Linked DNA regions of Cricetulus griseus. The protein of the gene in region 4 purifies or fractionates together with the protein of the main gene of each other region. This does not show direct contact. Links are inferred from orthologs where the notes say so. Each region holds a gene or a part of one and is shown on either strand. Other genes may lie near its edges.

Region 1 (3,500 bases), on a different chromosome or scaffold from region 4:
AGGGGTGTCGCGCGGCATGCCATGGGCGTAGGATCTCACGGCACAAGCGCCGGGCAATGCGTGTCAGCTTGGTAGTGTGCAGGTAGAAGGCCTGCCTTGTCTTCATGGCAAACTTGGGGCTCCCACTGCTCCGGGCTGGGATGCCGTGGGGACTCTGTGGAGCGGAGCACACCACCCCAACACAGCACCGTGACTAGAGGCCAAGGGCCTGAGGCCTACCTGCGGCAGGCGACAAGCATGGCATGCCGCACTTACCATGTTATTGCGATTTGGTCCCGGCCTCTCTCCATCTAGCCGGGTTGGCATTTTCAAGCCACCGTATTTCTTCCAATATGTCCAGCAAGAAGCGCAGAGGCGACACTGCATGTTAGGGGGACCCCAAGAATACCACTGGTAAGACTGTGTGGCTACGGACAACAAAGTTGGAGATAGACGGATTCTTAAGCAGAACCAACGGTGCAGAGAGCATCCCACAGTGTCCCCACCGCCACCACACTCATCCCACCCACCCCCGCCACCCCCTTAGCCCCACCCCCACCCCCGGCAGCACCACTGCAGCGAGTCATTCCAGGTCTGGGCACAGGGGCCTTCAGAGGTCCCATGAGCACCACAGCCACGAAGTAGCATTCCCGTGGCCCCTGCTGCCCAGGGTGGGTGCCAGGCACAGCACTTACTGTAACAGCTCTCGCAGGCCCGGCCAGCCCCGGGGCTCTGGCCTGGTGTCCCTGTGCCATTCACTACACTGGCCTTGACACTGTTGGCGCTGATCTGGTTTGGATTTGGCTTGTTACTGATGGAGGAGAAGGATCAGTCACAGGTGCCCTGCAGTGTCTGTATCCCAGCAGACATCCCTGTCCCCTTGGTTCACTGTGTCTTCGCTGCCACACCCCATGCCCCAATATGCTGAGCACTAAACCCAGCTTGACTCCTAGGCCAAAGGAACTCGAGTCCTGACCCCTCCTCCCAAGCTAAGCAAGCTCATGAAAAGGGTGATGGAGGTTCTTTGACTTAGCTCAGGAGGCCGCCTGACCCCAGTGGATCCTAAGAGCCCCACAGTCACTGCCCATCCACCAATGGCCCCCAGGAACATAGGAATGGACTTACTAGTTGGGAATATAAACCTGCTTTAACTTGCTCTCCGCTTCAGCTGCTTTCAAACGTTTCTTAAAACAAAACAGAGGGTTATGAAGGTCACCAGGCTGGCCAGGGCAGCTAGAAGACCACAGGGAGGGGAACATCATTGTTTCTCCATCACTGGCTCCCCTGGGAAAGACTCGAGAAAATTTTGCATGGCTCTCTCTGGCCATCCTAGGGCCAGGAAGTGGAGGCTTCAGGTGGCTAGGGTTCAGGAATGTCCCTTCCTCCTGTCTGTGCATCCTCTAGAGACCATGGCTTCTTCCTCTTTGCTCCAGGGTTAGGGGGAGGTCTTTGGGAACAAATTAATGTGACTACACAGAGACTGTGGGGAGGGACGAGGTAGGTTGTGGGGAGGGCCCACCTGCTGGACGTATCTGTCGGTCGTCTTCCACATGTAGTAATATTCAATGATGCTGGTGAGCGATTTCCAGGGGAGCTGGGGTGAGACAAGGCATCATGGGTGGTAGGAACTGGACTACTGCCCAGATAGGGAGCAGGGTGGCAAGGGCAGTGCTGGGAGGTCAATTCTGGTCCCCCTCCTTCAGTGCTAACCACAGGAGTGTGTGGCTGACCTTCCCCTCAACACCCACGCTAGAGTCATTTCCATTATGTCTGAGTCTGGGACCTGAGCAAGACGACAAGAACTTGGTTCTGTCCTTACCAAGGACCAGAGACGAAGAGGACAAGATGGGCAGACCCCGTTGCCTGCCCTTCTGCCTCCCGCCAGGAGACAACGTAGCACAAGGTCTCTTGCCAAAGGCAGACTGGACCATGGACTGATGGGTGTCACGAGCTACCCATTCTCAGGTGCACAAGGGGGCCCACCCAGGAGGAGAGACCCCTTGCAGCAGTCGGGCTGCCCTTCACCTTAGCTGGAAAGACATATTTGCTGCTTCTCTGGGTTAGTTGTCCTCCACCTTCGTATTTAGCTCAGTGTTGAGGGGCTGGAGTGGCTTTTATCTTTCAGCACATAGCAGTGTATAGAGCCCCTTCACCTTGCCCTCCCTCCAGTGCTGCCTAAGCCTCAGGCCAAATGACTGAAGTTTAGTCTTCACACCTCAAGCTGCTGTTTAAAATGGCACTTTTTTTTTTTTTTTTTTTTTTTTTTTTTTTTTTTTGAGACAGGGTTTCTCTGTGTAGCTTTGAAGCCTGTCCTGGCACTCGCTCTGGAGACCAGGCTGGCCTCGAACTCACAGAGATCCGCCTGCCTCTACCTCCCAAGTGCTGGGATTAAAGGCATGCGCCACCAATGCCAGGCTAAAATGGCACTTTTAATTAAAAAGGGCTCAACAGGTTGTTTTTCTGGCAGTGTTAGGGATCAAACCCTGGGCCTTGCCTATACAAGGCCAGCATCCTACCTACCACTGAGCTATGCCTCAAGGCTAGGGCTTCAGTCTTTAAGGCTGGCATGATGGTTAGAAATGTCACCTGAAAACTTTGTTTCTTTAATATCTATCAGCTTGATCTACACGAACCATTTCCTGAGAGCAGACCCACGACAGCACCGGGTGACACAGAAGGTGGGCTTGTCTGTTCTGTGCAGAATCCTGTTTCTGTACTTGGTTCACTTGGCCCTCTAGCCAGCAGGCCTTGCCCTCTAGCAGGTGGCTCTGCAGCCCTTTCTTCTGGGTCTCTGACAGACTCAGTTTACCTGCTGAACTGCATCTAGGAACGTGCAGATTCTGCAGGGCTGTCCCCCACTGTAGCAGCCACGCCCAGCCCCCCTCAAACATTGCCAGCTCTGTTCCACTGTTGTTTTCTTTCTGTCCCGTTCTTCTCATTCTACTTTTTGTCTAAAAAGCTTGTACTTTTTTTTCAAATCCAGTTACATGCCAGGCTGTCCAGCAGAGACTGTGGGTTCTGTGGGCCATGGGAGTGACCAGCACCTGGGCCTCCCAGAGACAGACACTCCCTCAGCCCTTCTGCCTATGCCTGAGTAAGCACCCTGCACGCTCCTGGCTCTCCCACCCTGGCCTAGGCTTGCTACTGGGTTTGTTTGTGGGTTTGTAGCAGGTTCTCACTATTTCCCAGGCTGGTCTCAAACTCATAATCCTGCCTGAGTCTCCTGAATGCTGGGGTTATCGGCATTGTTTGACGGTACTCCAGTGGGTAACATATTCCACTCACTACATCCTGGATGCTAGTAACCCTATCTCCTCAAGGCTGTGGGGAAGGTGGCCCAGCTGCCTCAGCTCATACAGACATGATCCCACTCTTCAGTCCTTTGGGGAGCTGGGGGGCTCTGAGGGCTTAGGCTCTATCATAGTAAAGACTTGGCTGGCACTGCACACAGGAGGGAGGGTCAGCTTAGTTAAGAACAAAACAGAAACGAGTCCAAGCAGCCGGGAAGTCTTGAGGGTGCC
Region 2 (3,500 bases), on a different chromosome or scaffold from region 4:
GAGGTTCCTGGGAATGTAAGAGGTTTGCCAAGACAGACTAGCTAGTATTAATTAGTGTATTTTATTCAAACCTAATGAATCCTTAAGACAGGACTGTGCTGACTCAGCAGGGAATTTTATCATAAGACAACCCCTTGGGTTTACATTGCCGCACTACCAAACAGGCAGAGTGCTTCGGTTAAGGTCCCTTTGGACACTGTGTCACAAAAGTCCACTGGGTAAGGTCACCTTCCCCGCCTTCTGATTAGCTCTACTCTGAAAATTCCCAGGGATTTCAACGTTGTGTTTTCAGGGTGGCATGATATAAATGGCAGCAGACAAGAACAATGTTTAAAAAAAAAAAAACAAAGGCTGTACACAAGAACTTATGTTTATTGCAAACAAACAAAAAGAGAGAGCGAGGGGAAAGAGAGGATGGTGAGAGGAGCGAACGTGTAAGGTTAAGAATTGAAAAGCGTCTTACATTCTGCCCTAATGGCAGCATAATTAATAGCAACAAACGGCCGTCTCGCTGCCTGCCGCAGCCTCAGGGTGTTTTTGCAGACCTGACGAGCAATTTTCGTGAAATACGTAGTATGGAGGAAGAAAGCTTGGCGGGTCTTCACTGCGGACTTGGGACTCCCAGTGTTCCGGACCGGCATGCCCTGCATGGCCTGCCGGGACAGGTGGCTTCTCACACGTGGGTCCTGCAATGTGGAAAACATCGGGATTTACAGAGGGGAACTTGATGGAGCACACGGCTACTCCCGCCTCGGAAGCACTGTATCTCAACAACTGCAGCCCCATCCCAGGGAGAAGCACTGCATCTCAACAATCGCAGCCCCATCCCAGGAAAAAGCAGCGTGTGTGAGCATTTGTAAAGAACGTGGGGAGTACAACATGGCAGGGTGGCGCGCAATCCCAGCCCACAAGCACTATCAGTGAGATGCTGCTGGGTTTTACTGTGAGGAGTCCAGAGCTGGCTGGCTTCAGACAGAGACTAGCCTCACTCTGGTAGACACTGGCACTTGACATCCTGAGTCTATGAGGATGACCACGGTCATCCTTCAATTACTGTTCACCCAAGATGGGGCTCTTCTTGTCCCTCCACAACAGCGGAGGGAAGAGAATGTTTAATTCCTGTTTGTTGTTTTATGTAAAAACATGTTTCCAACAGTACCTAAAGGTTACAAATTGTTTTTAAAAACAAGACTATTTGTAAGCTCTCCACTCAGGCAAGCGCCTCCCACACACATTATTCTTTTGTTTGAATAATCTCAAGAGACCAATATTTTGAATACCTGAAAAAAGAAAAATCCGACTGGTCTCCCTCTGTTTCCATGTTCACACCCACCCTAAGTATGCAGTGCTGTGTTTAACTCTAAAACTCAGCTCTGTTCATTTGTAAATTGTTCTGTATAGCATCCCTGCTTCCAAGAAGAAGCCAGTAACGGGGAAATGTGACGTCTTCGCCCCACAAAGAGTGCACTTGCGTACCTCTGCAGAAGGACTGGGAGACTTCTGTTCTTCTGACTGTGTGGGCATTTTGAGACCTCCATACTTTTTCCAATACAGCCAACAGGTCGCACACAGTCTACACTGCATATTAGGTGGGCCCCAGGAATACCACTGGTGAGACTGTGTGGCTAAAGACAGGGGGAAAGAGATACTATGAAAGTCGTGGTCTCAATACACTGAAACCTTGGAGGCACCCTGAAGCCACAGCCAGTTTACAGTGTTCCCAAGGCTGTCGGCTAAGCGTGGAAGCACAGCACACACACAAGCATTTTTCAGCACTCTGGACACATTGAGTTTCTGCCACACATCAGTGTTTGTCTCGTCTATTAAGAGACGCTATTGGATGACACATCCTGATTTATGCTTAGGCTGCTGAGATTTTGTTTTGTTAATTAAAAGTGATTTCATTATGTACATGTCTAGAAATAAGTCTTCCGAAGGATATTATGGCTATTAAGCTCCTTGGTAGTGTTTAAAATCTGAACTGTATGGTTCAGGAGCTCTTGCCAAGATGGCTAAATTACTCAAGAGGGGACTTACTGGTTAAGTCAGGAACCAGATAAAACTAGAAATCCATCTGTAGTTCCTTTACTCAGGAAACAAAAACCTTATTAGAATTTCTCCCTGAAGACTGTAAGTCCCCATCAGCTGAGCAAGCACCTTCGGCTGATATGGTATCATGGTTGGTAAGGCCTGACCCCAGCAGACTGACTGCTTGGCTGGACACACGGCCTGTGTCAGGTTCTGCAGCTTAACCCTGTCGCAAAACACCAAAAGCTTCCCATGGCAGAGGCAGAGAGAGGCAGAAACAGTGGTGGTGAAAGGTAGTTAAAACCGAAGGTAGAGACTATGATGCTAACTCTGCCAGTGGTCCTCCCCTTTGCTGTAAGTTACCTCCATGTGGGCAAAGCCGCCAGAGAGCACAGGAGGGTGCCAACTAAGGAACACCTCACAAACAACAGGAAAAGGGGAAAGGCTGAGCTGGAATATGGCTCGATGGCACGCAAAGGCCCTAGGTCTGGTCCCTACTGCCACCCACCCAAAAGAGAGAGAAAATATAGTGGCTATTACATTTAATTGCCTTTATAGAATTCAGAATAATTTACACATTCATTGTGTGCCACTCTTTTTTTGTTTGTTTTTTGAGATAGGATTTCTCTGTGTCGCCCTGGCTGTCCTGGAACACTCTCTGACCAGGCTGGTCTTGCTCACAGAGATCCATCTGCCTCTGCCTCCTGAGTGCTGGGATTAAAGGTGTGTGCCGCTGCCACCACCACCCAGGTGTCATATACTACTCTTGGAAAAATGCTTTTTTTTTTTTTTTTTTTTTTTTTTTTGGTTTTTAGAGACAGGGTTTCTCTGTGTAGCTTTGGAGCCTATCCTGGCACTCACTCTGGAGACCAGGCTGGCCTCAAACTCACAGAGACCTGCCTCTGCCTCCCTGAGTGCTGGGATTAAAGGCATGCACCACCAACACCCGGCTGGAAAAATGCTTTTAAAGAGAAGCCTAACCCCCTTTTCTCTTTTAACTTAAACAATAATGTTGACTTTTTAAGACAGATTTTATCAAAACATTTTAATTACATGTATGTGTATATGAGTGCAAATACCCTTGGAGACCAAAAAGTGTTGGACACCCTGGAGCTAAGGTTACATACAGGTGGTCATAAGACACTTAAGACGGGTGCTGGGAACCAAAAAGGTCCTCTCAAAGACCCGTGTGTGCTCTTAACCACCCAGCCATCTCTCCAGCCCCCAAATTAACTTTGTTTCAATATAAATAAGGACACCTGAGGTCATCCCCCTAGCCTACACAAATGTACACGCACATATATACATCCACCTGCACACACATGTGTAACGATTTGTCGTTACACATGTGTACTCACTTAGGAACATGCACATAAAGAAGAAATGTCATTGTGCTGTGGTGGCACATTCTAAATTCTCAGGAGGCTGAACCAGGAGGATAGTGAGTTAGAGGCCACACTGGGCTTCACAGG
Region 3 (4,144 bases), on a different chromosome or scaffold from region 4:
GTAGATTAGGTTCTTTGTAGAATGCTCGCCTCGAATTTGGGAGGTCTGGGTTCTATCTCTACAACAGGAAAGAAAAAAAAAATGATAATAGGAAAGAATGTTCCCCCAGGCACTTGTCTAGGGGCCCTGCGTTCTACTCCCTTCTCCCTTCAAACAAAAACAGCAGGCTGTCTCTGAAAACCTTTTCCCACCCTGTAACACATACCGTTAGGGAATATCGGCCGGGACTTTTAAATCTTGCTCGATCTTACGTGGGGCTGGGGGGGGGTGTCTCCTTTTCCCAAAGAAAAACAGGCGTGACATCATTCCAGAAGGTGTCGGGGTAAAAGCGTTGCACTGTCACTTCCGTACCGAAAAATGGCGCTCTCGTCATCTGCAAGAGTTGACACAATCCGACACCCACCTGGCACAGAGACGCATGCGCAGCAGCCAACCACAACAAAACACCCACAAGGTTCAGTTTCCCGCGCTGGAACCTTCCCAAGCATCCGCGTCAGGCATCGCGTGCCCAGACAGCGCGAGGGCCCAGGGGGACCTGTCGGTTGGGGTCCTACTTTTACATAACGCCCCCACAATGCTCTTCGCCACCCTCGACGTGGTCCCTCCCGCTCCAAGCCCCTCTTGTGGAGCCGGGAGGCCTGAGGACGCCAGGGAGCCGCGGGATGCCGGGCAGCCGCGAGACGCGCTAACACCACGGCGCCCCTCACCGCTACTCCGAGCAGGGCTCGAAGAGCAAGCAGCTCACGTGGGGTCCGCAGCAGCAGCAGCAGCAGCAACAGCAGCAGCAGCAGCAAGCAGCAGCAACACATGGAGAAGTGCAAAGGGATGAGCGGCAGAATGGCAGGCGCCACCTCAGGTTAGCGCGCGGGGCGGTGCAGCAGGTCCCCCGCCCCCGCCGCCCGGCTCGGCAGCCCAAGCCCTGCGACCTCAGCCCCGCACTCCGAGCCGCACCTCCGGGCCGCATGCCTGGTCCTCGGCGACGGTGTCAGTCCCCGGGGCGGCAGGGACGACCGGAGCGGGACGGAGCGGGCGCGCAGCGGGGACCTCAGCGGCCGCCGGCGCCGGCTCGCAGCCTGCCGAGCCCAAAGCGCGTAGGACTATATTTCCCAGGCTTCCCGGTCGGGAAGGCGGCTGTAACCTGGCTTCCGCTTCCGGTGGAGGCTCGGCTCGCCCCGCCCCCAGGCGGCTTCCGCTAGGGCCTCGCGACCCCGGAGTCATGCGCGCGGACTCTTGGGATTGGTGGTTCGCCGTCCCCGCATCGCGTCACTTTCTGCCTCTCTACGGGACTCCATTTCCCGGCGTCCCTAGGGGCAGGGGCGGTCCTCGGCGCCTGCGCGTTGCCCTCTCTCCCTCCCCACCCTCCCCAGTTCCCCTTCCCCCCTCCCCACTTCGCCTGCCGCGGTCCGCTCGGCTTCCTGCGCTGTAGCGGTCGCTGCGGTTCCTTCGAAGCTCGGCTCCCCTTCCCCGCCCCAGTCCCAGTCCCCGTCCGGCCGGTGAGTCTGCGCTCGTCCCCGCGCCGCGGCGCCGGGCTCCGCGCTCCGAGATGTGGGGGCGAGGAAGGAAGGGACCGGGTCGGCGGCCGAAGGAGGCCGGGTGGCCTGAGGAGAGGAGCGGCTGTGGGGACGCTCGTGGGTCCCGCGGGGGTGCGGGGCTCCCGCCGGCGCCGCGAGGCCCCGAGAGGCGGGCTCGGGGGGGAGGATGGACTCGGGAAGCCTCGGGACGGGCGCCAGGCGAGTGCCTCGGTGGGGCCGCGCGGGCCGCGCGCGGCCGGGGGCCGGGGGGCCGGGGGGCCGGGGCCTGGCCTCGCGCCGGGCAACACCCACAGATCGGGACCTGTCACCCCCTGGGAAGGAGTGGAGCTGGTTCTCACCACGCTGTCGGGGGGCTGAGGTAAAGAAGAGAGGCGTGGAGAGCGGTGCTTCACGGGCCGGGGCCACTCAACGCCAGTGGCCTCGGATTCCTCCGCCGTTGAGGAGACCGTGTGTGTGGGAGGAGGGAAGAGACCAAGAAACAGCCTGGTCTCCACTTAACGCCCTTCTTCCTCAGCCGACGTAAAGATGAGTAGCTCTGAGGAGGTTTCCTGGATTTCCTGGTTCTGTGGGCTCCGTGGTAATGAGTTCTTCTGTGAGGTGAGTTTAGCTGGCTTTCTGGGCCCTCTCCACGTGCCCTCGGTGTTTTCGTTGTATGTTGTCTGAGATGAGATTTCCCCCGAAGCTGACTGTGTAGCCCAGACTGTCCTTGAACTCCTGGCAATCCTAGTGCCTCAGTCTCCTGAGCGCTGGGGTTCACTCTGTGCATGGCTAACAGAGGTATCGCTGGTGACCGTCAGGAAAGTTAAAATGTTTCATGTAACATGAAAACCACAGTGTGGTAACGTAGGAAATGATCAATGCCTGTGAGAGTCTGATGTCCCAGAGCAGAGAGCAAACCCGGGTCCTTTAGAGGAGGGAGACAAGTTGAATAATGCGCTGTACCTTGTTGGCCCGGAAAGAAGAGAGCTGCGGTTTCTGTGGGAGACGGAACACCTCTGCAGAAGTGAGAATAGGAAACAAGGGGAGCCGATGCGGTCGTTTGTCTCCTGGGCCAGGTGAAAGACGGGGCTTCCCACACTAGTTTCAACCTCTTGACTCCCCTGTCCCGGTAGGTGGATGAGGACTACATCCAGGACAAGTTTAATCTGACTGGACTCAATGAGCAAGTGCCTCACTACCGGCAAGCTCTAGACATGATCTTGGACCTGGAGCCTGGTAACGTGCCTGCCCCCAGGGCCGTCGCTGCGTGTGGGGTCCATGATATGTGCACTTGTGTGTGCTTTGGTTTCTTCTTATTCTGGTCTCTGCTCGCTTGCTTCTTGAATTTTTCTCTTTTCTTTTTCGGTTTTTCCAGAAGGGTTTCTCTGGCCTTGAACTCACAGAGATTCACCTGCCTCTACCTCCCGAGTGCTGGTGTTAAATGCATGTGCCACCACTGCCCAACCGCTTCTTGAATTTCTAAATTTCCTTTTGATTCTCTAGCTCTTCTGTCTATTCCCGAGTCTCTTGCTCGCTTGTTTGTTTGTTTATGTGTTTTCTCCCCCACCTCTCCTCTCCATTCATAACCCAAACTGGACTTTACCACTTGCTCTTCCTGCCTTGGCCTCCACGTGCTGGGTTTTGTATGGCACATACACCACTGCCTGGCTTCTTCATTATTTTGATTCCCTACCTGACCCTTGCCTTCAGGGACTGGTAACATTTGTTTCCATGCTCTCCAAATGTAACTCCACTGTCTCTCACAATGCCAGTCTTCTGGTGTGTTGTGTGCTGCTGCTTTCCTCCTGCTGGTCTAGAGTGCCACCCTCTGCAATTATGTTTATGTGTTGGGAAGGGGAAGAAGCTGGCAGAGACTAGAGAGGTGTGGAGAGAGGGCAGTGCTGATGGCCTGGGTGATGGATAGGGTGTGTCAGAAACAGGTGCTGGATAAACTGTAGGAGGCCACCTTGGGGATAAGGTGGGGTACAAGTGGCCATCCCACCTTTCAGATGAAGAGCTGGAAGACAACCCCAACCAGAGTGACCTGATTGAACAGGCAGCGGAGATGCTTTATGGGTTGATCCACGCCCGATACATCCTCACCAACCGAGGCATCGCCCAAATGGTGAGGCTCTGCTCCTGCTTCTGAGGCAGTGAGACAAACAGGTGCATGAGGCAGAAGGCATGTTTCGTACCTGTCAAGAAGTCTAGCAGAGGAGACGAGGAGAAGCCCAGAGCTGGGCTGAGAATCCAATCCTCACTGAGGGTCCTACTGAAGGTATTGTTTTCAGGGAGGGAGATGAGGCCATGGATAGGGAACAGAGAGAGCAAATGGCCCTTGTGTTCTGCAGCCTGCCAACTTGAGGAAAGCAGTTGAGAAGGAAGCTTGAGGACCTGTCTTGACAAAGAAGGGCTTCTAGTTAGAGGTGGGAGGCCTGGGAGGTGGGGAAGTGAGGTGCTCTGCACACGTACTCACCAGTCCCTTCCATTTTGCACACCTCAGTTGGAAAAGTACCAGCAGGGAGACTTTGGCTACTGTCCTCGTGTGTACTGTGAGAACCAGCCAATGCTTCCCATCGGTGAGTGTTGGAGAGGGGAGAGGAGGGCACTACTTGCCAGTCAGGTTGATGTGG
Region 4 (3,500 bases):
GTTAAGGAACCATGCTTCTCTTTTTGCTTTCCCTGCTAAGAAGCTCACAACTGCAATGGAAACTCTTGTCTGTGATTGCCCCGAAGTTGGGACAGTCTGGGTTTTCTTTGGTCTGTTCTGTTTGAGACAGGGTCTGAAGAAGCCGAGGCTGACCTTGAGCTCCTTATTCACTGGTCTCTACCTCCAAGTGCATTATCATGCCTACCTTAGTATTTATTTGTATATAAAACATTTCCCCAAAGCCAGAGCAAACAGTAAGTCAATCAAGATGTGTTTGGGGGCTGGCAAGGTGACTCAGTGGGTAAAGAAAGTTGCCACCATGAATAATGACATGAGTTATCCTTCGGCCCACACACACACACACACACACACACACAAGCACAAAAAGCCTCTATCAGAAAGAATGGGAGATTCTAAGCATCACAGGAGTGTGAGCCTCACACGGAGGAAGTTACAGGTGTGTGCACTTCTCTACCTCCATTCTACCCCAGGCGGCACTCTGATGCCTTCAACTGGCCTAAGCGGCAGCTTGAACATCCCCTGCCCTCTCCACCTCACCCCCTCCCCAGCACAGGTATCTCATTTCTTCTTCCTTGGTCACAGAAATCTGTCTCGATTAAGAGCTGAGGTTCCAGACTCCTCAGGTGGGCACCCCACAGGGAAAAGGCTCTCAGGGCACAGCAAAGACTTGCCTTAGGCCACCAGGCTACAAGAATGTGGGGGACATGGTCATACCTTACTCCTGGGTTACGATGAGAAGTTGGCTCCTGTTAGAAACTAAGCACAGTGCAAAATGACACCCCTCTGTACCTCACCAAGTACACCCAGCTTGAAGGCTACCCTGTACCATGTACTTAAGTCATTCCAGGGCCCTAGCTGAATGACGTTGGAGTCCTCTGGCCAGCCAAAAACTTGCTGTTACTCAACTCCTTCTGGGGAAGTCGCCAGCATGCCCACTGCCGACGGTGCTGGCCCAGACTGCTCATCACAATAGCAACAAGCCTGAAAAGATTCAGGTGATCCTCAGGGCGGAAGGCTTTGCCTAAAAGGGACAGGCATGTTTGATAGGCAAGTGCTCCTGCCATCTAGTGGCTAAAGGCCAGAGTTGCACCTAGACCACTTTCACTGAAAGGGACAAAGAATTGGTTCAGGTACATTCAATGCACATAGGACAGACTATCTTGCCCAGAGGGTGCTGACCAAGGTCTCTTCCATTTTCAATGCCCCACAACCCCTAATGGATTCTACTTCTAGTAGGAAAATATATCTGCCCGTGCAGGGCACAAGAGAAGGGGAAGCTTCCTCTAGATCTTTCTACTCAGAGAGCCCTTGATCCCTGAGCCCCACCCAAATGTCTGAATATTAAAAAGGAAGTTTACTGGAGGGGGCATGTAGCTCAGTTGTGTGTGTGTGTATGTATATAGTGGTCTGTCACAAGGGAGGTAGAGGTGGGAGAATCCAAAGCCATCCTTGGCTATATAATTCCAGGTCCAATTCAACCACGTAAAACCTTAAGCAGGCAGACCTAAGGCCAAAATCAACTTTATAAGAAGCAGCTACCAGTGACCGTGGAACTTTTCTGTGCTGAGGATCAAGCAGGCCCATGTGCAGGCCATGGCTCCCACTGTAGAAGCTGGGGGCCGAGACACTCCCTGTCACACTGGGCTTGGCAATCGCACAAATACCAGGTGTAATAGCTCAGTGGTAGAGCACAAGGTCCTGAGTCTGATCAACACCAAACAAAATTTACAGTCTACAGGCTGTGTGTGTAGCTTACCGTCCTGCTTAGGTGAGGGCACCTTGGGCTCCTTCTTGTTTTTGCGACCCTCCCGCCCAGAAGGATCTTCTCCTAAATCTATGACAAGTTCACTCTCTGAATCGGAGTCCAAGCCCAAATGCACTGTGGGGGAATCCGTGTCATCTTTTCCCTTCAGTTTGTCCTTTGTGGGGTGAGGAGATGGCTTTGCTTTCTCTACTGAGTCCTTCTCAGGCTCCGGGCTTGCCTTGTCCTTGGCGGGTGTAGGGTCTGCCTTCTCACTGGCTGGAGAGTTACTTTTCACTTCCTCTTTGACTTCTACCGGGTTTGCAGGTTTTGGCTTTTTTTTTATACCGGGGGCCTCTTTGTCCACCCGACTCCCCTCTTTGTCTTCAGGTTCCTCTGGCTCATTCTTGGGCTTTTGTTCCTCATCGCTGACATACTCACTGTCGCTGCTTTCTGACTTTTCGGAATCCTCCGAATCACTGTGCTCCACGGCTGTGTAAACATCTTCTGAGATCTCATTTATGCCTAAGGACAAAAAGAAACCAGCACAGCTTAGCTATGCAAGAAAGACAGGAGGGATACACACTCCCACCCTTCAAGTGGCATCCCCATCTTAATGGGGACAGCTAGAAAGGGGGCATGGGGGTACAATCAAGATCCAAGAAAAGCAGGGACAGGACAGACCTACGGACTGCCAGGTTTATGTCAAGTCTGCAGCACTGACTGATGAGGAGATGGGGGAGCCATTAAAATAAGGGCCCAGAGAAGCCCTTGTCTACGCACAAATTAAATCTACTGGGTACCAAACAAGAAGCCTAGGCTCCTGACCCAGCACTCCACCCAAGTGTGAACAGGCAGGCTTCTGCCTGTGTCTAGGGCTCCAGAAGGCCAGAGCCTTAGCATGGCAGCCACTGCTCGGCCCATGTATATCTTCCCTTATACTTAACCATCTGGGCAGCACTGGCTTACCTGTATGCATTGTCTTTTTGTTTTGTTTTAATTAGAATTCTCTACCCAAGTCACAACCAAAAAATTTCTCATAGGCCTCAAGGTAGTGGCTCTGTGCACACAGCATGGGAACCACCCTCTGTGGGATCTGCGAGCAGCAAGCAGCAGACAGGCAAGGGTGGAATCTGCTGCACCCCTTAAGTGGAGGCAGGTGTCCAGATAACCTGGAGCCCAGCCTTCTAGCTGGCCCCCTGTGCGCCTGCAGAGCCTCAGGTGCTCATGTGAATGCATTGTCCTTCCGCTGCCAAGGGGCAAGAGAAAACTACACCTGTCTATGCTCATCAAAGGAGACAGAATAGCAGGTGTCACACACACACACAAGGTACATGTATGCTTCCAGCTCAGGCAGTAGGCAAATAAGAACAAATAAACCCAAAAGAATGAAAACCATGTCAATTCTTCATACTGCCTTCACTCCAGTGCAATGGCCTGGACACATCAAAGAAAAACTCAGGAAGGGCAAGAGCCATGAAGAGCCAAGACACAGGCAGTTGGTCAGCAAAGTTGCTGGGGAACAGTATTGGACTCCCCAGGGTCCAACAACCATGAAAACATGAGGTCTGAAACGAAGGTGCAGTCAGAGGCGTGTATTAGCGGTAGGCAAGCATTCAGCACAGGGCACAGGAACTGTTATCTGTGGGACCTTGGGAAAATGACCCACTCTTTTTTTTTTTTTTTTTTTTTTCGAGACAGGGTTTCTCTGTGTAGCTTTGGAGCCTATCCTGGCACT
Region 5 (4,202 bases), on a different chromosome or scaffold from region 4:
CTGCTGTTCAAGCAAGTTACTTCATTGCCTTACTTTTGCTGTTTCAAAGAGGGAACAAGTAATCCATTTATCAAAGTTCTTCTAGAAACATAAAATTGTATGCATGAGTGTCCAACCCAGAAGACAATTTATTATTGCAGCTGGGCCAAATTAAGGACATGTGAGGTCAAGGAGGAGCTGGCTGCACTGGGAAGGAATATACACTGGCCACCTAGAGCTAGGGTCAGAGATAAGAGTCAGAGGCCATCTAAAGTCATGTGTGAAAGACCTGGAGCCACTCCTGGCACCCGGAGCTCTAGCATGGTCAGCAGGGAGAAATAAATTCAACGGAGAAAGAATAAGACTCTGAAGAGGCAAAGAAAGGGAGGGGCATATCCACAAGGGCCCCAGCTGAGTCCTCTGCTGTCACAAACACCTGCTGCTTGCTCACCTATCTTCCCCAGAGTGTCTTCCCTCCTCTCTCCCCCACCTTGCTCTCCCAGGGTTAAAACTCCAGGGTACAAGCTGATCCACATAGCTGCCACAATGGGAAAAAAACTCCTCTTTCCCACTGTCATTTCTACTCTGAGCTCCTCACCTAGTCTATCTCCTAACTCAAACTCCAACTTCTTGGGCAACAGTAGCCTAGGAAGTCTCCCCAACCTTATCCAGGCTCAGGAGGGATTGGGGGGTGGGGGTGGCGTTTTAAGTCCCACAAGACTTATGTGTCACTAAAGCAACAAGGCCAACTCAGAGACTATGGAGACCCAAGCTCTAACCTCCATCAGTTCTAAACCATAAGTATTTCTGTAGGAAGAAGCAATGGAGAAAAGTACAAATTCACTCCCTTTTACATGTTCCCTGCCCAGGATGCAAGCCATTTCCCAGGGCCAATTCTCTCACCTCTTTCCAGCCTTCAGACTGTAACTGGAGATAGTCCCAGCAGGTGGCAGCTGGCATTGCACGGACCGAGGTGGGGGTGGGGGGCAAGGGTACCAACTAGAGGAAGAAAGGGGAGTCCTCCTAGCACTTTACCCCCTTACTGAATTCTGTACATTCTGGGTTTAACAAAGCCCTTAGTTCTGCCCAGATGAATTGCTAGGTCCCTCTTCAGTTCGGCTGCGTCAGGTGGGGAGACCTGGGCTACTCTCCCACTCAACCTCACAGCAGAGTGGGTCGGTGGAGTACAAACCAATGGGGACTTAGGAAACACCTGCGAACTGGCCTCTCCCAACCACCTCCCTCGGGCGTGCAAGTGACTTGGAGGTCATCCGATAGCCACCTGGAGCAGACAGCGGGCCAAGCAGAGAGGTTTAGCGCCGATGAAGATCCTTCACTCAGCTGCCAGGCCTCTGGTGCTGCCATCTCACAACCCCCTTTTCCCTCTGTTCCCCAAAAACAAAAAGAAGGGGCTTAACAGGAAGAGGGTGAACAGACCCGAGTCGGGTGGGGGCTCCACTGCCCTTTGCCCAAGGCCTGCTGCGCAGAGCAAAGCCAAGGGGCCAGAGCCTGGCCGGGGGCGATTAGGTTGCGGCCAAGCTGGGCAACGGGCTGCATTAAGTGCCTGCCATCTGCCAGGGACTGGCGCGGGAAGCAAGCCCGGGGTTTCGGGTAGGGGACAAGAAGTACATTAAAAAAACTGGAGGGTAAACTGAGGCGAGTGGTGCTTCTTTCACTTTCATCGGCTAAGAACTCACGGCAGGGCCTTGGCCAGGCCCTTTTGGATCTGCGGCGCTGCACATCGGGGGCCAGGACTCCCCGGCAGTGGGGAGTGGCACGAGGGGAGTGGAGACACAAGAGGGGGCGGTCCCTGAATGACTCTAAGCTCTGCAGCCAGGTCAGACCCAACTCGAACCTGGTCCCCTTCCCCTCTGCGCACCGCGCAGCCTGCCCCGGCTCCGACCCTCAGAGGCTCTCCCGAGACCCCAGCGATTGCAAGGCGCGCAGCGGGCTCGGGGCGCCAGCGTGAGTCCCGCAGGGGCCCGGACGCTGACCCGCACCCGGTCGGGATGTAGGCTCCGCTATGGCTGGGCCCAATTCCCCCGCCCCCACCGCCCGGCACGGACACCATTTTAGGTCGCGACATCCCGCAGCCTCCAGTCCCCCGGCCGCACTCCGATGGCCTCTCGGTCTAGGAGAGCCAGGACTTAGGGGTCCCGGACCCCCCTCGCACGTTACCAGGCTAGGGGCAGTGCTTTCAACAGACTTGAGTTCCCACAGCGGTCCTCGAGGATGCAGGCTGCGACCCCGACAGGCAAGCAGCCGCCCCAGGGGGCGGCGCGGGGAAGGGGGTAGTTGACCAAGTGGGGGAGGGGCAGGGGCATTTACCCGCCCCCCCGGGGGGCGGAGCCAAGGGCGGGTGTTTGCGGCGAGCACGCTTACTTGTTCCGATCCTAGTGCGGGCAGAGACCCCGCGGCCTCACCCGGTCCCAGCCACCACCGCCGCGCCGCCGCTGCGCCCGCCGCCGCCGCCGCCGCCCCCCGCGGCCGCCACTACTTCCTGCTTCTCTCCGCTTCGGCCTCCCCTCTCCCTCAGCTCCCTCCGCGCCCCGGGACCGGGCTGCCCGCTTTCATACTCGCCATTGGCCAACGGCCCCGTCCATCGGCTCTGAGCCCCGCCCACTCCCGCACGGGGTTGGCCCTCCATACCCAGCTCGGAACTGGCCCCTCATCGTCTCCTCACCGCGATTGGTCGAAGGGGCTGGGCTCTGTGGAGACGCCTCTCCTCATTGGCCACTCCGGAGTCCACCTGCCCCATCTGCGTAGCTCGGCGGCCATTGGCCACCGCCGCTGTCGCTTAAGCCAGAGCCTGCCTTCGTCTCCGCTTTGGGACGCCGGCGGTGACCAGCCCAGAAGCGTGGCCGTCCCCGCTCTGTCGGCCGCTGGGCCGCGTGTGTGCGAACTTAGGGACTCGAGCGGTGTGGAGCCTCAGGGAATCTCGTCAGCCCCGAGTGGAACCCGGCTGTCTCAAGCGTTCGTGACGTTTCTTCAGGCTAAGCCGCGACCTCGAGGACGCGGTGTAGGGTTCACAAAATGGGGCGCCACCCCCAAACATTACGTCATCGGGGTGACCCTTCCCCTCGCGGTCCTCGCGGTGTCTGAACTGCGGTATGGTCCGGGTGGATGAGGTCCTCGCCTGGGCCAGCCTCCGGGCGTGCGGCTCCTCCCCCTCCCTCCGGGAGAGCCGCACGGGCCGCGGGATTCCGAGTGTCGGGCAAACCGGAACCCGGGACCCGGGACCTGGGACGCGCTGCGGACCGGAAGTGGGGGAGGTGACGTTGGGAGTGCTGGCGTGGCCTGGGCCACAGCCAAAGAGCTTAAGGTAGTGTGCTGATAGGCCCCTCAGACGGGAGAAGGCGGGAGCCCGCCTCTGTTTCCCCGCCCCCGGCACGAGCTGGCGTTCCTGTTGAGGTTGAGCTTTCCCGCGCTTTGCCGCCCCGCCCCCTGGAGGCGGGGAAGGGGGCGGGGTTGCCGGGGAGATGAATCGCCTTGACACTCTCCCATCTGCACGCTTTCGCGGGATCCATCTGCAAGCCCAGTGTGCCACCTGGCGCGCGCTCTACCGCCTGGCCGCGCGCCGCCGCCGCCCGCCGCGAACGCAGCCGCTCCAGACGGCAAGGGCTTTTAAAGATTGTGTGTTATTTTAACCCGCGTCCTCACCCTTTCCGTGCGAGCAACCCACCAACTTTGCGACGTGTCAAGTTTTGTGTTTGTTGTAGCGATACCGAGGAATGAACCTAGAGAGTCGCACACGCTAGGCAAATGCACTAAACGCTGAATCGATACCCTGTCTCTCATTTTTTGAGATCGGCTTTTCAGCAAGGTTGTCCTGCCTGCCTAGTAACTGGGGCTACACTGCTGCGCCACCAGGCCCAGAGTTTTGGTAAAGCTTTTAAAAGGAGGCACAACCTTCCCTTGTGCCTCCTAGCATTGGTCTCAGAAATCTCAGGCGCCGCCTGGGAGCTTGTGACTATTAAGGCTACAACGGGAATCTTGGAACCACCACATTCCACATGATGGCATTAGGCAAGTCTTTCTACCTCCCTGAACCTATTGTCTCATGAAAAAATAAAAATGGAAATTATAATATCCACCTGCCAAGATTAGTTTTGCAAGGATGAAAAGCTTGGAATGCAGAGGTCCTATTTATAAAATAATAACAAGCAGATGAATGGAGCCTCCACCTCACCGGCCATCTTTCTCTGCAGGGGCCACAGCTCACA
Region 6 (3,500 bases), on a different chromosome or scaffold from region 4:
ATCCACATAGTAGAAGCAGAAAACTGAATCTGCCAAGTTATCCTCTGACCTTGTAATAGCCATAGCAGGGACACTTCACCACAAACATAAGATTTTTTTTTTAAAGTTTCAGTTTTTATTTTTCCTTTAAGTTTTGAAAAACTGCTATCACCACTTACTCAAGACTAATATGTAAGTAGGTTTCTCTTCCACCCTCAGTCCTCAAGTATTAATGGTCGGCAGTTTTAAAAATAGAACTCACCAGAAATGTATTCCTAGCCTGCCCCTGTAATTACCTTCATGTCATAGCCATATGTCTCTCGAATATCTTCATCAGAATCCGTTTCCTCATCATCATAGTCCATTGTTTGGCGGGGGGAAGATGATACACTGCTCGCCACCCGGTTAAAAGCTGATTGCTGGAAGCTAGGTAAATGTCCCTAAACAACAAAAATGAACAGACAAACAGATTAAACAAACAGGTAATTAATACATGTTTAACATCAATAAAATATAACTAACTTACTTAAAAAGCAGCTAAAAGAAAATAAATAATGCTATAGTCTACCTGAATATTTTCAGATAGTATTTCACTGAAATGACCTGAAGAAAAGTAAGGCCATGTATGCAGAAGGAAGAAAATGTTATGGATCATATAACTGCTGGCCAATTATAGCCAATTTTCTACCTAAGTAAACAAGTTAAATCCGTTTAATTTACTAGTCAAAAACTGAGAAATACTACTACATGAAACACAAGAAAGTAAATTAGAAGCTGACCTGTAAGTCTGGATTAGCAGCTGCTTTTTGGAGCTCTGCACTGATAATCTTTTCAGTTTTTTCTCGAGCTGCTTGTTCCACCATACGTTGACTTAACACAGAGAGTTTGGCCAGGGCAGAGGACAGTTCATCTGTGGCTAAGGCTTGCCGTGCTCTATCTTGCCAACTCATGGCACGTTCTGTCAAACACTGAAGTGCCTCTCCTTCAGGCAACCGTACAGGCAACTTCTGAAGGGATACCAGCAATGACAGAATAGTCTCTAGCCTGGGCCTTCGAGATCTCATGCAAAGAGGGCAAAGGAATTTTACGTCTTTAGCTTGCCAGCTGGATCCCTTTTTCTGGGAACTTGATTTAGGAAGGGGAACACAACTATTATGAAACCAGTCTTTGCAGAGCTCACACTGTAGCATAAACCCACTGGCTGTCTTCCGGCAAATACAAAATTTTACTTCTTCTATGCGGTCCCCAATTGTCATCTTGGCCAAGTTGGCTGCTCTGAGGGAATGCATGGCCTCAATCTCCTTTTGCTCCCGTTCTTTGAAAACTGCCACCTGTATACAACAAGCATTTAATTAAGGAGAGTAATTTGAAAAACCCACAAAGTATCCAAGAACGCCAATGGCAATTTCCTGAAATGTGGGTTACCCTTCCAGTTTCCACATAAAGATTTCTCATCTGTAAAATGACAAACTGCTATAATATTTGACATTTTATATGAGAGTACTCTCTGTAGGGCACAGGACAAAGAGGGTATTTCTTCAGATCAAGCACTTGCACCAAGCACCTGGTACCAAGGTACCAGGAATCCAAGTCTGGCTCTTGGACTTAAAGACTATTGAAAGAATAGAAAAAGAAAAATAAACCCTTTGGGGAAGAGAACAAACAGCAAACTTTTAATACTAACACACACACACACACACACACACACACACACACACACACACACACACACCCATAAATAACACAGGTAAATAAACAGTTAAAAACCTACTACTAACATCTTTCACAGAGCTTTGCATTCACAAACAAATTCAAGGCCCATCACTTAGTTCCTTACCACCATGGCTGTATCTCTGGTCTCCTCCAGTCCTTCCTCTAAGTCACTCAAAGGCTCAAGGTCTAGGTCCTTTTCCTTTTCTTTTTCTATTATTTCTTTTACTTTTTTCCTCCTGTTTTTACCACTCCCATATACACCAATGTCAGTTCGGGGACTTAGCACCTGCAAAATTGAAAAAAATATAACTCTAGTTAAAAACAAACAAAACAAAACAAATTAAAACCCTTGAGAGTGAAAGTGACCATGAATGAATCATTCACCATGTACAAAGTAACTATTTATTCTCATATTTTAGAAGCAGGATCTTATTTTGTAGTGCAGGCTGCCCTACAATTTGTGGTGAACCTCTCACCTCAGCCACACCAGGGATCCATGTATGTTATCTGTTTATATTTTCATAACAACTGTACATAGCAGGCATTATTTTCCAGATTTTATTGATAAGAGAGACAAGGGATAATTTGTCCAAGGATAAAGGTTGAAATTCCAAAGTCTGTCATCTTTAACTATTGTGTTCAACTGCTCAGGATAAAAAGAATTAAGTTGGGCTGGAGAGATGGCTCAGCGGTTAAGAGCACTGACTGTTCTTCCAGAGGTCCCAAGTTCAATTCCCCACAACTGGTGGCTTACAACCACCTGGAATGAGATCTGGTGCCCTCTGCTGGCATGCAGGCAGAAGACTATATACATAATAAATAAATAGAATCTTAAAAAAGAAAAAAAAAAAAAAGGATTAAGTTTATGTCTCTGAGGGATAAAACATTTTAGTAGAGTCTATTAACAGAGGTTAAGATATATGCTGGTTGCTATTTCTGGATACAAGCACAGATTAATGAGACAAAAAAGAAAAAAAAAAAAAGAACTTGCTTAAGACTTCAGGTTTCAATTCAACACCTAATACTACCTAATTCTATAATTAATAGAAATTAATTATAATAATGACTAAATTAACTGAAAAGAATCTTCACCAACACCACTACAGGTAGGGATTTGTCAACTGCTATGAGAGCGCTGCAGACCACACATATGCATTATTCTTCACCTGTAACAATGTATGGCTGGAATTCTTCTTAAGGAAGGTCCGCCCAGTCCGTTCTCTCCAGGCCCTTGCTGCTGCGACCTGTGATTCCACTTGAGGCAAAGCATCAAGACGAACAGGGATAGGGCGTCCTTTAGCAGATAAGCTCTCAAGCTGCTCCAAATAAGCATAGTTGCTGCCACTCTGGAAAAAGTAGATTCACACACAATTTTAATTCTTTCATGGAGTCTGGCAATGAATGTACTGTTGGGGAAACTTGGTTTAATATTAACTTTTTTTTTTTTTTTTTAATACTAAGCATGGAATAGATCCCAAGTCTCGTACACCAGGCAGGCACTGTACCACTAAGGGACATCTTTAGTCATAGCGCTAAATTTTGTGCTAAACCAACAATTGTTCACCTTAATGAATTTAATTCCAAATTTTACAGAAAAAAAGTTTATAAAAATTAATTTAAGCCGGGCATTGGTGGCGCACGCCTTTAATCCCAACACTAGGGAGGCAGAGGCAGGCGGATCTCTGAGTTCAAGGCCAGCCTGGTCTCCAGAGTGAGTTCCAGGATAGGCTCCAAAGCTACACAGAGAAACCCTGTCTCGAAAAACCAAAATAAATAAATAAATAAATAAATAAATAAATAAATAAATA
Region 7 (4,127 bases), on a different chromosome or scaffold from region 4:
CTGCAAGCTTCTAAGGAATCGCTATGAGAGCAGAGACCGGGAGTGGGCTACCTACACCTGTGTGCTAGGCTTCCACGTGTATGGTAAGTAGTGAAGCCAGCATGCAGCCGAGCCCTTTAGCAGGGCTGGGAAAAGAAGGTGGAACCCATTCTTGGATCAGAATGTTGGGTGTGTGTCATGTGTCATGGCGGGGGGGGGGGGAGAGGCAAATCCAGGCCAACAGGTCCCTTTGGGAATGGAGAGGATTGTCTGGAGGTAGCCTGGAAATCCTAAGCACTGCAGCTCTAGGTTGTGGAAAGTGCCCTGGCTGAGGCTACCTGTTGTGTTAGGTGTGTGGCCTGATGGCTCTGATGGGACAGACATCAACTCCCTTTGCCGCTCCCACAATGAACGTGTGGTGGCTGTAGCAGACGACTTCTGCAAAGTACACCTTTTCCAGTATCCGTGCGCTCGAGCCAAGGTGAGTCTTTAGAGGACCGTTGGGCCCCAGTGGGTAGTCTTGGGACCCTATCACTGCTGTGACTGTACATTTTTTTCTGGTGCAGGCGCCAAGCCGTATGTACTCAGGCCACGGCAGTCACGTGACTAGCGTCCGGTTCACGCATGACGACTCATACCTCGTCTCCCTAGGTGGCAAGGACGCCAGTATCTTTCAGTGGCGAGTGTTGGGCGCTGGGGGCTCTGGGCCCTCTCCTGTCACGCCTTCTAGAACTCCCTCTCTGTCCCCTGCCTCCTCCCTGGACGTGTGATGAATGCTGGATGGTTTTGTCCCTCTGGTACTGTGGCCTTGCCCCGCCCTGGCCAAAACCCCTAGGACCAAGTGCAGCCCTTTTCCTGGGCTGGCTTTTTCTTTGATTTCAGTACATTCCCAGTTGCGCATTTTCCTGGAGGGGCGAACCGCCCCATTGCACACACGATAACGACTCGCTGGCTGAACCAGGCAACCCCAGCTCTGACTCCCTTTGCCTGGTGAGGGGCAATAAAAAGAAAGAAAGTCACCGCTTGGTGCTTTTGTGGAGTGCGGCGGTTGCCTCAGGGGCCCGGTAGGGTTGGGATGAAAGAAAAAAGTGCAGGGCGGGAAGGGAAAAAAGGAGCTCGGACCAAATATGCAAATAACAGGCAAAGCGGCTTGCAAATAACCTCAAGAAGCGCGAGGGTGCGCGCGCGCCTTGCGAGGCCACTGTCGGAGCTGCAGGGACACATAGAGTAAAGAGTTAAATGCGGCTCCCTGCCGCCCTCGGGGGCGGGGTCGAGCTGCAACGGAAATAACCGAGCGCGGGGCCGCGGCTGAGCGAAAAGAGCCGAGTTCCTTCCGGAAGTGGCCGATCTGCGGGGTCTTGCTCTCCGACCTGAGCCGAGCGCTGGGCCTTGTTCTCCGGATCGGCCGAAGGTGTTCCGGAAGGAGGCGAACCCGGACGCGGGCAGGGCAAACCTTCTCAGGGGCTGGCACCATACGGCGTCTGCTGGGACTCGGTGAAGACGCTAGGAGCCGGAATCTGTCTCCGGTCAGGCAGGAACCGAGCTCGTTCCGGAAGAAGCCGAGCAGACCGGCGCCGGCCTGGGTATCCCGGGCGTGAGGCTATAGCAGTGTCGTCGTGGTCTTCGTGCGAGCAGTGATGAACCGCGACGGCTGAGCGAGCAGAGGTGCCGGCTGCGCGGGCCCCATCGACACTTCCGCGAAGCGTCAGCCCCACGCTGGGGGCATCGTCTGGAGCTAAGCTTTACCCCCGCGAGCCTCCGGGTCCTCTTTGTGCGGCCGGAGGCCGCGGCGGGAACGGCCATGGCGGCTAACATGTACCGTGTGGGAGGTGAGTACACCGGGCGGAAGAGGTTGGGGACGGGACCAGGGAGACTCGGTGTCCGCAGGCGCGGGGAGCAACATCTGGGGTCGTAGGGGCCACAGCGCCGACCGGAACCGGAACCGAGACCTATGGTTCCGCGGCGGCGACGCTACTGGGAGCCGAGTCTCCCGCAGAGGCTTACCTACAACGATCGGTGCTCTTGAGTCTGCGACTGGATCCCGGGGTGGGAAGTAGGCTTGGTTTGGAAGGGGACTGAGTGACTGCGGGGCCAGCTGCGGGGAGCCAGTCGCTCAGGGGTTTTCTTTTCTTTGGCGGCTTGTTCGTTCACGAAGGTGAGGCCTGAGGTGGGGGGAACAATTTACTCAATTCTCCCACGCAGGGGTGCAACTCCAATGCAGAGTTGTGTGGACTACAGGGAAATCCTTGTTATCTTTTTCCCCCTCCTCTCTCACTTCTTGGTTTTTCGACTCTGTCTGTCTGTCTCTTTGGTTTTTCGAGACAGGGATTCTCTGTAGCTCTGGCAGTCCTGGAACGCACTCTGTAGACCAGGCTGGCTTCGAACTCAGAGATCCTCTTGAGTGCTAGGATCTGACTTTTGAGTGAGAATCTGATTTTAGCGCTAAGTGTTGCAAGGGTGGGAGTAAAAACTTTTCTCCCTCCCCCCCCGCCCCCCCCCCCCGGCTGTCTTAGAACTCAGGAAATAGACCAGGTTGGCATCGGACTCAGATCCACCTGCCTCTGCCTCCCTCTGCTGGGATTAAAGGTGTGAGCAATCACTGTCTGGATAATTCTTTTATTTCTTTTCTCGTTCTTTTTTTTTTTTTTTTCCTCGAGACGGTTGATACTTATTTTCTTTTGTTTTCTCGAGACAGGCTTTCTCTGTCTATCCTTGGCTGTCCTGGAAATTGCTCTATAGACCAGGCTGTCCTCGAACTGGAAGAGATCTGCTTACCTCGGCTTCCTGAGTGCTGTTGGCCACCACTGCCCAACTAATACTTTTCTTTTGCGGGGGTGGGGGGATGGGGGGTGGGGTTCGAGACAGAGTTTCTCTGCGGCTTTGGAGGCTGTCCTGGAACTAACTCTGTAGACCAGGCTGGTCTCAAACTCAACAGGGAACCACCTGCCTCTGCCTCCTGAGTGCTGGGGTTAAATGCATGCGCCACCACCTTCTCTAATACCTATTTTCTTTTCTTTTTTTTTTTTTTTTTTTTGGTTTTTCGAGACAGGTTTTTCTCTGTGTAGCTTTGGAGCCTATCCTGGAACTCGCTTTTGTAGACCAGGCTGGTCTCGAACTCACAGAGATCCACCTGCTTCTGCTGGGATTAAAGGCGTGCATCACCAACACCCAGCTATACTTCTTTTCTTAAGTCTTTCCTCTTGCACATCTCCACATCTCTACCTAGCATTTTGTCTTTTTTTGGTCCACCCAAATCCACTTTCTCTTCTGGGTGCTCTGGTTTTCTTCTGATCTTGTTTCTCCCCACCCCCTTCTACAGATTACGTCTATTTTGAGAACTCCTCTAGCAATCCTTACCTGGTTAGACGGATTGAGGAGCTAAACAAGGTGAGTGGAGCAGAAATGGAGCAGTTTCTTTCTTCTGGAGTCTAACTCCAAGTGGAAGGGAGAGCCAGCCTTACCTAGGCTTAGAGCCTATACAGGTGAGCGAGCGTTCATTCCATGTATAGAGCTGCTGAGAGCTTAGCTGAAGCTTTATCATTCTCACATCTGGGGATAAAAGAATCCTGTCTCTGTTGTTTTTTTTTTGTTTTTTTAAATATACAGTGTCTATTTTGCAGCCTTGGTTGCCTGGAACTTTCTGTGTGATCAGGTTAGCAAACTTATGGAGACCCATCTCATTGGTCCTGTAATTATCTTTGAATATTAAGTCTTCATTGCTGAGTTTTTGGCCTCTTCTACTTAAGTCCTTAGAGAGTGCCTGTTAGTGTACCTCCACTTTCAAATGGCTAATTTTCATTGCCCTGTTTTTCTTCCTTCTTTAGACTGCCAATGGCAATGTGGAAGCAAAGGTTGTCTGTCTCTTCAGGAGAAGGGATATTTCTAGTAGCCTCAACAGCCTGGCTGACAGTAATGCTAGTGAGTGTCTTCATTCCTTCCCCTTTCCCCCCTCCCCAGGATCTGAGGACTAGACTTGTTCCTGCAGGTGTTTCCCCTGGTAACACGCCCAAGGCAGGGTATGAGTTTGGAGGTGGGAAGTGCCTGGTCTGCAGAGCAAGGCCTGTTGTTACATGTTGGGGCTGGGGCTGGAAGCCGGGTGGGGAGACCATGATCAGAAAAGCCAGAATGTGGTGTGTGTGTGTGTGTGT

Evidence for each region.
Region 1: the proteins of Zmynd8 (region 4) and Mta1 purify together in Homo sapiens (affinity purification with mass spectrometry; 3 studies listed by BioGRID and IntAct, with this or other methods). This does not show direct contact. The link is inferred for Cricetulus griseus from reciprocal best matches to the Homo sapiens genes ZMYND8 and MTA1.
Region 2: the proteins of Zmynd8 (region 4) and Mta3 purify together in Homo sapiens (affinity purification with mass spectrometry, with the first as the bait; 3 studies listed by BioGRID). This does not show direct contact. The link is inferred for Cricetulus griseus from reciprocal best matches to the Homo sapiens genes ZMYND8 and MTA3.
Region 3: the proteins of Zmynd8 (region 4) and Csnk2b purify together in Homo sapiens (affinity purification with mass spectrometry; 3 studies listed by BioGRID and IntAct, with this or other methods). This does not show direct contact. The link is inferred for Cricetulus griseus from reciprocal best matches to the Homo sapiens genes ZMYND8 and CSNK2B.
Region 5: the proteins of Zmynd8 (region 4) and Znf687 purify together in Homo sapiens (affinity purification with mass spectrometry; 4 studies listed by BioGRID and IntAct, with this or other methods). This does not show direct contact. The link is inferred for Cricetulus griseus from reciprocal best matches to the Homo sapiens genes ZMYND8 and ZNF687.
Region 6: the proteins of Zmynd8 (region 4) and Kdm5a purify together in Homo sapiens (affinity purification with mass spectrometry; 3 studies listed by BioGRID and IntAct, with this or other methods). This does not show direct contact. The link is inferred for Cricetulus griseus from reciprocal best matches to the Homo sapiens genes ZMYND8 and KDM5A.
Region 7: the proteins of Zmynd8 (region 4) and Mta2 purify together in Homo sapiens (affinity purification with mass spectrometry; 3 studies listed by BioGRID and IntAct, with this or other methods). This does not show direct contact. The link is inferred for Cricetulus griseus from reciprocal best matches to the Homo sapiens genes ZMYND8 and MTA2.

Annotation. Positions count from the first base shown.
Region 1 is NC_048598.1:180,921,368-180,924,867, forward strand, and holds part of Mta1 (metastasis-associated protein MTA1), read right to left. Parts: intron 1,574-3,500; coding exon 1,499-1,573; intron 1,164-1,498; coding exon 1,105-1,163; intron 791-1,104; coding exon 675-790; intron 408-674; coding exon 256-407; intron 155-255; coding exon 1-154. UniProt on the Homo sapiens protein: Transcriptional coregulator which can act as both a transcriptional corepressor and coactivator. Acts as a component of the histone deacetylase NuRD complex which participates in the remodeling of chromatin.
Region 2 is NC_048598.1:85,409,490-85,412,989, reverse strand, and holds part of Mta3 (metastasis-associated protein MTA3), read right to left. Parts: intron 1,626-3,500; coding exon 1,477-1,625; intron 687-1,476; coding exon 464-686; coding exon of another isoform or gene 441-463; exon of another isoform or gene 353-440; intron 1-352. UniProt on the Homo sapiens protein: Acts as a component of the histone deacetylase NuRD complex which participates in the remodeling of chromatin.
Region 3 is NW_023276806.1:231,642,975-231,647,118, reverse strand, and holds the start of Csnk2b (casein kinase II subunit beta), read left to right. Parts: upstream 1-1,344; 5' UTR 1,345-1,493; intron 1,494-2,046; 5' UTR 2,047-2,057; coding exon 2,058-2,129; intron 2,130-2,644; coding exon 2,645-2,747; intron 2,748-3,520; coding exon 3,521-3,636; intron 3,637-4,014; coding exon 4,015-4,090; intron 4,091-4,144. UniProt on the Homo sapiens protein: Regulatory subunit of casein kinase II/CK2.
Region 4 is NC_048599.1:13,607,232-13,610,731, reverse strand, and holds part of Zmynd8 (protein kinase C-binding protein 1), read right to left. Parts: intron 2,288-3,500; coding exon 1,778-2,287; intron 1-1,777. UniProt on the Homo sapiens protein: Chromatin reader that recognizes dual histone modifications such as histone H3.1 dimethylated at 'Lys-36' and histone H4 acetylated at 'Lys-16' (H3.1K36me2-H4K16ac) and histone H3 methylated at 'Lys-4' and histone H4 acetylated at 'Lys-14' (H3K4me1-H3K14ac).
Region 5 is NW_023276806.1:61,486,012-61,490,213, reverse strand, and holds the start of Znf687 (zinc finger protein 687), read right to left. Parts: upstream 2,801-4,202; 5' UTR 2,663-2,800; exon of another isoform or gene 2,629-2,662; intron 2,478-2,628; exon of another isoform or gene 2,362-2,477; intron 2,299-2,361; exon of another isoform or gene 2,158-2,298; intron 1,352-2,157; exon of another isoform or gene 883-1,351; intron 1-882. UniProt on the Homo sapiens protein: May be involved in transcriptional regulation.
Region 6 is NC_048601.1:24,449,586-24,453,085, forward strand, and holds part of Kdm5a (lysine-specific demethylase 5A), read right to left. Parts: intron 3,039-3,500; coding exon 2,859-3,038; intron 1,979-2,858; coding exon 1,817-1,978; intron 1,311-1,816; coding exon 759-1,310; intron 420-758; coding exon 276-419; intron 1-275. UniProt on the Homo sapiens protein: Histone demethylase that specifically demethylates 'Lys-4' of histone H3, thereby playing a central role in histone code. Does not demethylate histone H3 'Lys-9', H3 'Lys-27', H3 'Lys-36', H3 'Lys-79' or H4 'Lys-20'.
Region 7 is NC_048596.1:51,152,048-51,156,174, reverse strand, and holds the start of Mta2 (metastasis-associated protein MTA2), read left to right. Parts: upstream 1-1,327; 5' UTR 1,328-1,780; coding exon 1,781-1,808; intron 1,809-2,081; exon of another isoform or gene 2,082-2,134; intron 2,135-3,298; coding exon 3,299-3,366; intron 3,367-3,803; coding exon 3,804-3,897; intron 3,898-4,127. Other genes in the region: Eml3 (echinoderm microtubule-associated protein-like 3), read left to right, coding at 1-83, 330-460, 546-749. UniProt on the Homo sapiens protein: May function as a transcriptional coregulator. Acts as a component of the histone deacetylase NuRD complex which participates in the remodeling of chromatin.